2 linked regions of the Lonchura striata genome follow. The protein of the gene in region 1 binds, or shares a complex with, the protein of each later gene. Links are inferred from orthologs where the notes say so. Each region holds a gene or a part of one and is shown on either strand. Other genes may lie near its edges.

What was found.
Region 2: THOC3 (region 1) and SARNP share a complex: the UniProt entries of both Homo sapiens proteins name them as parts of the transcription/export (TREX) complex. The link is inferred for Lonchura striata from reciprocal best matches to the Homo sapiens genes THOC3 and SARNP.

The regions. Positions count from the first base shown.
Region 1 is NC_134617.1:3,495,298-3,499,201, reverse strand, and holds the start of THOC3 (THO complex subunit 3), read right to left. Parts: upstream 2,523-3,904; 5' UTR 2,510-2,522; coding exon 2,327-2,509; intron 1,989-2,326; coding exon 1,832-1,988; intron 1,086-1,831; coding exon 881-1,085; intron 546-880; coding exon 384-545; intron 295-383; coding exon 194-294; intron 1-193. Other genes in the region: SIMC1 (SUMO-interacting motif-containing protein 1), read left to right, coding at 2,635-2,736. UniProt on the Homo sapiens protein: Component of the THO subcomplex of the TREX complex which is thought to couple mRNA transcription, processing and nuclear export, and which specifically associates with spliced mRNA and not with unspliced pre-mRNA.
Region 2 is NC_134629.1:9,290,048-9,293,951, reverse strand, and holds the start of SARNP (SAP domain-containing ribonucleoprotein), read left to right. Parts: upstream 1-1,063; 5' UTR 1,064-1,092; coding exon 1,093-1,128; intron 1,129-3,904. UniProt on the Homo sapiens protein: Binds both single-stranded and double-stranded DNA with higher affinity for the single-stranded form. Specifically binds to scaffold/matrix attachment region DNA. Also binds single-stranded RNA. Enhances RNA unwinding activity of DDX39A.

The sequences.
Region 1 (3,904 bases):
ACCCAGTGACAAGGTACAGACATGACAGGCATGTCTGCCACAGATTGCTGAGGCAGAGGCTCCCCCTTATGGCGTTCTGCTCTGCACAGGAAAGCTCTTCCTTAGCAGATGGATTCTTCCTGTGTCCTTCCAGCTCTACCAGCACTTCTCTATCCAATTCCCTCCTTGCAGTTCCCCAAAATAAAACCATTACCTGTCTCCACCTCGGCAATGTCAATGAAGTGATCTTCTGATGCTGAGGCCAGCATCTTCCCATCGTGGCTAAAGCTCAACGTCCGCACGGGCCAGTCGAGCCTGCAGCAAACGAGGGGAGCAGACGGTGAGGCACTGCCACCACAGTCCCCAGAGAGAGGGGAAATCAATTTTGGGACAGCTCTACCTACCTGGAGAAGCACCTCACACACACTAGCTCGTCCACATCCCAGAGGCTGACCAATGCATCAGCACTGCCTGTGGCAAAGTACTTCCCCATGGGATCGAACTTGATGCAGATGCAGTTGGAAGGATGGGCGTTGATGGACTGGATGGGTTTCAGCTCTGGGTAGCTGTGGAGGTGAAGGGAGAGGGTAGGGAGCAGTGAGAGAAGCACAGGGATTCCCTAGAGCAGGGCAGGCATGAGGCACACCAGGACTGGAAGCAAACCCTGCCGAGGCAGGAGACACTGAGTGTCCAGTGAATGAGGCAAAGCCTCAGGGACCATTTCAGGGAGCTGAGCCTAGCCCACAGCTGTGGCAACCTCAGCTCCAGGCAAGCTCATTCCCACCAGAGGGCAGGGGATTGCTGGGACGTGGGGCTCAGGTTTCCCAAAAGCAGCAAAGGCACTTGCAAATGACTGCAGCCAGCCCAGCCACCCGGTCCACCAGCAGCCACGGGCACCTGCCTGAGGATGTTGATGCAGCCATTGCCATTGGTGAGGAAGAACATGTTGTTATCGTTGTTCCAGGAAATCTCGTTCACCTCAAACTTGAACTGTTCCTCAGCTTTGGAGCGATGTGTCTTGGCATCAATAAAGGTGACCACATCATCCTTGTTCCCCACAGCAATAGTCTGTCCATCAGGGCTCCAGCAGATGTTGATGTTCTCACCTGAAAGGACAAAAAGGCAGCACGTCCCACTACCACTCCAAACCATTCCCAAATGGGAAAGACTACCAGTTGTTCAGTGTAACACACAAACCCTGCACAGCAGCTATCCAGCAAAACCAAACTTGTGAGAAGTACAACTTGAAAATGATATGCCACATCCCATTTCAGCCAAGATGGGACCACAGCAACCACTACACAAGGTTACACCGATGATCCTCTGAATCCAGTAATCTCTGAGATCCAGAAAAAGAAGAGGCCAAAAATAAATACCTTTGAATATACAAAAGAACATGGCAGGTTGCTATTACACAACCTTACGATATCATTCCCAGCCCAAACAACTCAAACTGGACATTTCCAAGAGCAGAGATGGTATTTGGGTAAAGCATCACATGAATTCAAATAGTTTTTCTGAATCCACACAATTTTTTATTTCCAGCATGACTCTCTGTAAACATACTTTTCCCCAGTCTCCAGCCTCACAGTCCACTCGTTCCAGAGACAAGTACAAAGGACATTTTAACAGCTAGCACGATATTTCAGCAGTTCTAACAGTCCTGACCCCACGGTAAATCAGCTCTCACATGATGAGCGTAACACAAATATAAAGCAGTTAGCAAAGATGTCCCAACCAGAAATAACTACAGGAAAGGTTCAAAGCTCTGTGCCACTGCAGACGGGTCCCTCACAGCTGAGATCCTGCCGGGACCCAGCTGGGAAGGCGCCCCGGGAGGGCAGGGACTCACCTTTGGTGTTGACAGTGGCGATGCACTTGGTGGTGCGGACATCCCAGATGCGGATGGTTTTGTCCCCTGACGCTGTGACAAACAGGTCAGGGTTGCTGGGGTGCCAGCAGAGCTGATCCACGCTGTCCCCGTGGCCCCGGTAGTTGTTCTCCTTCACCTGGCGGGAGAGGGCGGATGACGCGAGGGTGTGTGCCTGGCTCTGCTCCCACTCCTGCATCCAGCGGGGATGCAGCGCGCTGGGATAGACCAGGAGCCGCGCCCCGGCCGGCAGGACGGAGAACGCCGCGGGGCACCGGCTCCGTTCCGGGCTCGCACACCCGGCCTGCGCTGTCCTTGGCGATGCCCCTGCTCCGGTGCACACCGAGTACCCACCCCCAGGCCCGGTACCGACCACCGGGGCATCCTCCCGCTTCCGGACCCCGCCCAAGCAGCCGCACGCGGGGTGCCCAGGGGCTCCCGGTACCGATCCGCACCGCCCCGCCCGGCGGGTCTCACCAGCCGGTCCTTCTCCAGCAGGAAGACGCTGGCGGTCTTGTCGAAGGAGCCGGAGGCGAGGCGGCGGCCGCAGCAGCTCCAGGCCACCGAGTGCACCTTGGCGCCGTGCGCCGGGAACTCGCGGCTCCGCGTGTTGGCGCGGAACAGCTCCTGCATGGCCTGCACGTAGGGCGACAGCGCCATGGCGGGGCCGCCGCCGCCGGCACCGCCGCCCCGCCTGACGCCACTTCCGCCGCTCCCGCCGCTCCCGCCGCTTCCGCCGCTCCCGCGGCCCCGCCGGCAGAGCGGAGCCGCCGCCCGCCGCCGGGATGGAGAACAATGTGGTCCTCCTCAGCGATTCGGACTCGGAGGGGGCCCGCTCGCCGCCGCTTCAGCCCTGCCGCTGCCGCCCCTCGCTGCCCGCCGCCGCGGTGAGTCCGTGCCTCCCGCCGGCACCGGCGCCGCTGTTCCGCGCAAGATGGCGGCGCCGCCGCGGCGGGCGGGGGCGGAGGCGCGCGGGGCAGCAGCCTCGGGGCAGCGGAGGGGTGGGCGAGAGGTCCCGGTCCCGTCCCGTCCCCGCCGCGTCCTCAGGACCTCCCACCCTCTTTCCTGGCCGGGCTCGGGTCCCCGCGGGCAGCTGCTGTCAGCAGAGCCCCGCTGCACAAGCGCGCTCCCCAAGGGCCCGGTGCCTGCCATTCGGTGCCGCGGTGCTCTCGCTGCACCCCGAGAAGGATGCAGGCCTGCAGGGCTCAGCCCCCGGCGGGGTCCGGCCGCGGGACGCGGTGGGGCGGTTGCCGCCGCTGTCCCCCATGCCGTTCCTCTGCCGGGTGCGGGGCCGGTGGGGTCGTGCGGCGGCGGTTCCGGGCACGAGGCTCGGGCTCGGACGGGAAAACGGCCGGTCCCTAGCCCCGCACCGCTGTCCCGGGTCCTGAGCCGGCTGGAGCCCTGCACCTCCCTCTCCCACAGCTCCTCTTGCGTGCCGGAGCCCGCTGGGCTTTGCCCTCTCCTTGGGGAAGGCAGCAGGTTTAAGTCGGGGGGGAGGGAAGTGGATTTGAATTCTCTGCTAAACGTGTTCCTGCTTTGAGGTGCTGAGGGGGATTTTTTTCCCCCAAGAGCAGACAGGCTCTGACTCCTCCTGGGCCTGCCAAAAGTTTGGGAAGTGCAGTGTGTGGCCTGTTGCTGGTGCAGGCACAGCTGCCTCCCTTTGCCTGTTCCTGCTGTCCCTTGGACCATGCATCGCCCAGCGAGGCCTGGATGGGAATCCCCAAAGTCTCAGGGCTGCTGTAGCTCTGACTGGTGCCACAGATGTAAAGGCAGCTTTGTTTCTTGCCACACCTGTTCTCCAGAGCAGGGAATGTGCCACAGAAAAGGTGGCAGGGTTTGGATTGCATGCTGTTCCTGCCTGGGTACAGGAGAGCTCCTTGTGCTTCCATTGCCCTCCCTGGACATGGCATTAGGACTGGCATTTCCCTGTCGTGGGAAGGAGCTGAGCAGGCAGCTAGGTCTGCTCTGAGTCAAGGCACAAGGACATGAGCCCTGAAGGGAGTGGGGAAGAAGAGCCTGGGTTGGTCTCAGGCTCAGCTGTGCTGCCAGGGGAGG
Region 2 (3,904 bases), on another chromosome or scaffold:
CTTCAGGCGCCGGTACCGGGATTGCGGCGGGGCCGGAGCGACCGGGAACGACCCGTGGGGGGAGGGTGTGTCCGGTTAGTGCGGGAGATGCGGTTTGGAGCGACGGGGAAGCGGCCGCTGCCGTCATGGAGGTTGCCCGCAACCATCATGGCGGGCACGACATCCATCATGGCGGCCGCCACGCCCAAAAGAGAAGCTCATTTGAATAATTTGAATTAATTGAATTATTTGAGTTATTTTAATGATAACAAGAGGGGGTTGTGGCTCAGGAGCTGCGGGAAGCGGAGGCTGTGCTGGAGATTGGAAGTGTTTTTAATGAGAAATAGAAAGATATGCAGTAGTACTAAATAAAGTTATTAATAAATTAAGTGATAATAATTTATTAATAAGGGAATAAAGCAGCAGCCCTTGGGAGCAGCGACTGGAGAAGGGAAAGGAGTGGGAAACGCAGGAATGTTTTGGAAAATGGCCCCAAATTTGTGCTCTGCACCGCTGGGTGAAGCACAAATGAATGAATTATAATGAATGAATTTATAACAAAGATTTAATGCAAAGCATTTAATGCACATAAACGGTAACTAAATAACGCAAATATATGCAAATTTTCGGTAATAATTAAACAACAATGAAATTAAATCATAACAAAGGCTATATTTTAATAGATAAAAGTACTGCAAAGAACATAGCAACACTCTAAGCAATAAACACAAAATAACCAGAGGTAGTAAATAATAAATATCTAATGTTATCCAGGAAGGTTAATAGTTTAATGAAGGGAGATAATTTTTAATAATTAATTATACCCCAGTCCCTCAATGACCCCGCTCCGCTCCTGGCCCCACCTCCCGGAAGTCCGCGTTTCCCGCCCTCTCTTCCCATTGGCTGTCTCTCAGCACATCCCTATTTCCATTGGTTGATCCGCACGTCAGTCAACATATCCCCGCCTCTATTCCCCGATAAGCCAATCACCGGCGGGCGCTGCCGGCAGCGCTGACCAATGGCGAGCGGCGGATTTGGGCGGGGCAGCGGGGGACGCGCGGCGCTGATTGGTGGGAGCGGCGGGAGGGGCGGGGCGGGCGCGGGGGTGCCAAGATGGCGGCGGAGCCGGTGGAGCTGCACAAGCTGAAGGTGCCGCTGGGAGAGGGAACGGAGCCGGGAAAACCGCGGGGAGAGAACGGGGACAGAACCCGGCAACCGCCACAGCCCGCGGGGGCAGCGCGGGGACTGCGGCTGGGACGGAGGGAGCGCGCGGGGGAACGGCGGGAAAAGGGCCGGAAACTCGGAGGGGTCCTGAGGGAGCTCTGGGGGGCTCTGAGGGTCTTGAGGGGGCTCTGAGGGAGTTCTGATGGAGTTCTGAGGGTCTGAGGGGCTCTGAGAGTCTGAGGGGGTTCTGAAGGAGCTCTGGGGGGCTCTGAGGGTCTGAGGGGCTCTGAGAGTCTGAGGGGGTTCTGAAGGAGCTCTGGGGGGCTCTGAGGGTCTTGAGGGAGCTCTGAGGGGCTCTGAGGGAGTTCTGAGGGGTTCTAATGGAGTTCTGAGGGGCTCTGAGAGTCTGAGGGGTTCTGAGGGTCTGAGGGGTTCTGAGGGAGCTCTGAGGGGTTCTGAGGGAGTTCTGATGGAGTTCTGAGGGGTTCTGAGGGACTCTGAGGGTCTGAGGGCTCTGAGGGAGTTTTGAGGGTCTGAGGGGTTCTGATGGAGTTTTGATGGAGTTCTGAGGGGGCTCTGAGGGGTTCTGAGGGAGTTCTGAGGGAGCTATGAGGGTCTGAGGCGGCTCTGAGGGGTCTGAGGGGTTCTGATGGAGTTCTGAGGGGCTCTGAGAGTCTGAAGGGCTCTGAGGGGGGTCTGAGGGAGCTATGAGGGTCTGAGTGGGTTCTGAGTGGTTCTGAGAGGTTCTGAGGGGGGTCTGAGGGGTTCTGATGAAGTTCTGATGGAGTTCTGAGGGAGTTCTGAGGGGGCTCTGAGGGAGCTTTGAGGGGTCTGAGGGGGTTCTGAGGGGCTCTGATGGAGTTCTGAGGGGGTTCTGAGGGGGTTCTGAGGGAGTTCTGAGGGGTCTGAGTGGGTTCTGAGTGGTTCTGAGAGGTTCTGAGGGGTTCTGATGGAGTTCTGAGGGGTTTTGAGGGTCTGAGTGGCTCCGAGGAGGCTCTGAGGGGGTTCTGAGGGTCTGAGGGGCTCTGAGGGGGTTCTGAGGGGGTTCTGAGGGTCTGAGGGGCTCTGAGGGGGTTCTGAGGGGGTTCTGGGGCTCTGAGGAGGCTCTGAGGGGGTTCTGAGGGTCTGAGGGGCTCTGGGGCTCTGAGGAGGCTCTGAGGGGACTCGGAGTGTCTGAGGGGCTCTGGGGGGTCTCGAGGGGGCTCTGAGGGAAGCGGGAATGGAACCGGGACCGAGGGGAGCGGGGCAGGGCTCCGGGGGAACCGGGAATGGGGGAGAACTGGGAATGGGGGAAAACCGGGAATGGGAGAGAACTGGGAATGGGAGAACTGGGAATGGGAGAACCGGGAATGGGAGAGAACTGGGAATGGGAGAACTGGGAATGGGAGAGAACTGGGAATGGGAGAGAACCGGGACTGGGGGAACCGGGACTGGGAGAGAACTGGGAATGGGGGAACCGGGAATGGGAGAGAACCGGGAATGGGGGAGAACCGGGAATGGGGGAGAACTGGGAATGGGGGAACCGGGAATGGGAGAGAACCGGGAATGGGAGAGAACCGGGAATGGGGGAGAACTGGGAATGGGAGAGAACTGGGAATGGGAGAACCGGGACTGGGGGAACCGGGAATGGGAGAACTGGGAATGGGGGAGAACCGGGACTGGGAGAGAACTGGGAATGGGGGAACCGGGAATGGGAGAACCGGGAATGGGAGAGAACCAGGAATGGGAGAGAACCGGGAATGGGAGAGAACCGGGACTGGGGGAGAACCGGGAATGGGGGAACCGGGAATGGGAGAGAACCGGGACTCAACCCCGATTCCCTCTCATTCTCATTCCCAGGTTTTTCTCGCTCATTCCTGAATTCCTTCTCATTCCCATCCTGTTTTTCTCTCTCATTCCTGGGTTTTCTCCACTCATTCCCAAATTCCTCTCTCATTCCCATTCCCGGATTCCCTCTCATTCCCAAATTCTTCTCTCATTCCCATTTCCGGATTCCCTCTCGTTCCTGAATTCCTTTCCCATTCCCATTCCTGGATTCTGTCACAGTCCAGGTTTTTCCCGCTCATTCCTGAATTCCCTCTCATTCCCACTCCTGATTTTCCCTCTCATTCCTGGGTTTTCCCCGCTCATTCCCAAATTCCTCTCTCATTCCCATTCCCGAATTCCCTCTCATTCCTGATTTTCCCTCTCATTCCTGGGTTTTCCCCGCTCATTCCCAAATTCCTCTCTCATTCCCATTCCCGAATTCCCTCTCATTCCTGGATTTCCCTCCCATTCCCAAATCCCCTCTCATTCCCGAATTCCTCTCTCATTCCCATGCCTGGGTTTTCCCCTCTCATTCCCAGGTTTTTCCCATTCCCGGTTTCCCCCCTCATTCCGGGTTTCCCCCCTCATTCCCGGTTTTCCCCCCTCATTCCGGGTTTTCCCCCCTCATTCCCGGTTTCCCCCCTCATTCCCGGTTTCCCCCCTCATTTCCGGTTTCCCCCCTCATTCCCAGGTTTTTCCCATTCCCAGTTTCCCCCCTCATTTCCGGTTTCCCCCCTCATTCCCGGTTTCCCCCCTCATTCCCGGTTTCCCCCCTCATTCCAGTTTTCCCCCTCATTCCGGGTTTCCCCCCTCATTCCCGGTTTCCCCCCTCATTCCGGGTTTTCCCCCCTCATTCCAGTTTTCCCCCTCATTCCGGGTTTCCCCCCTCATTCCCGGTTTCCCCCCTCATTCCCAGGTTTTTCCCATTCCCGGTTTCCCCCCCCATTCCCGGTTT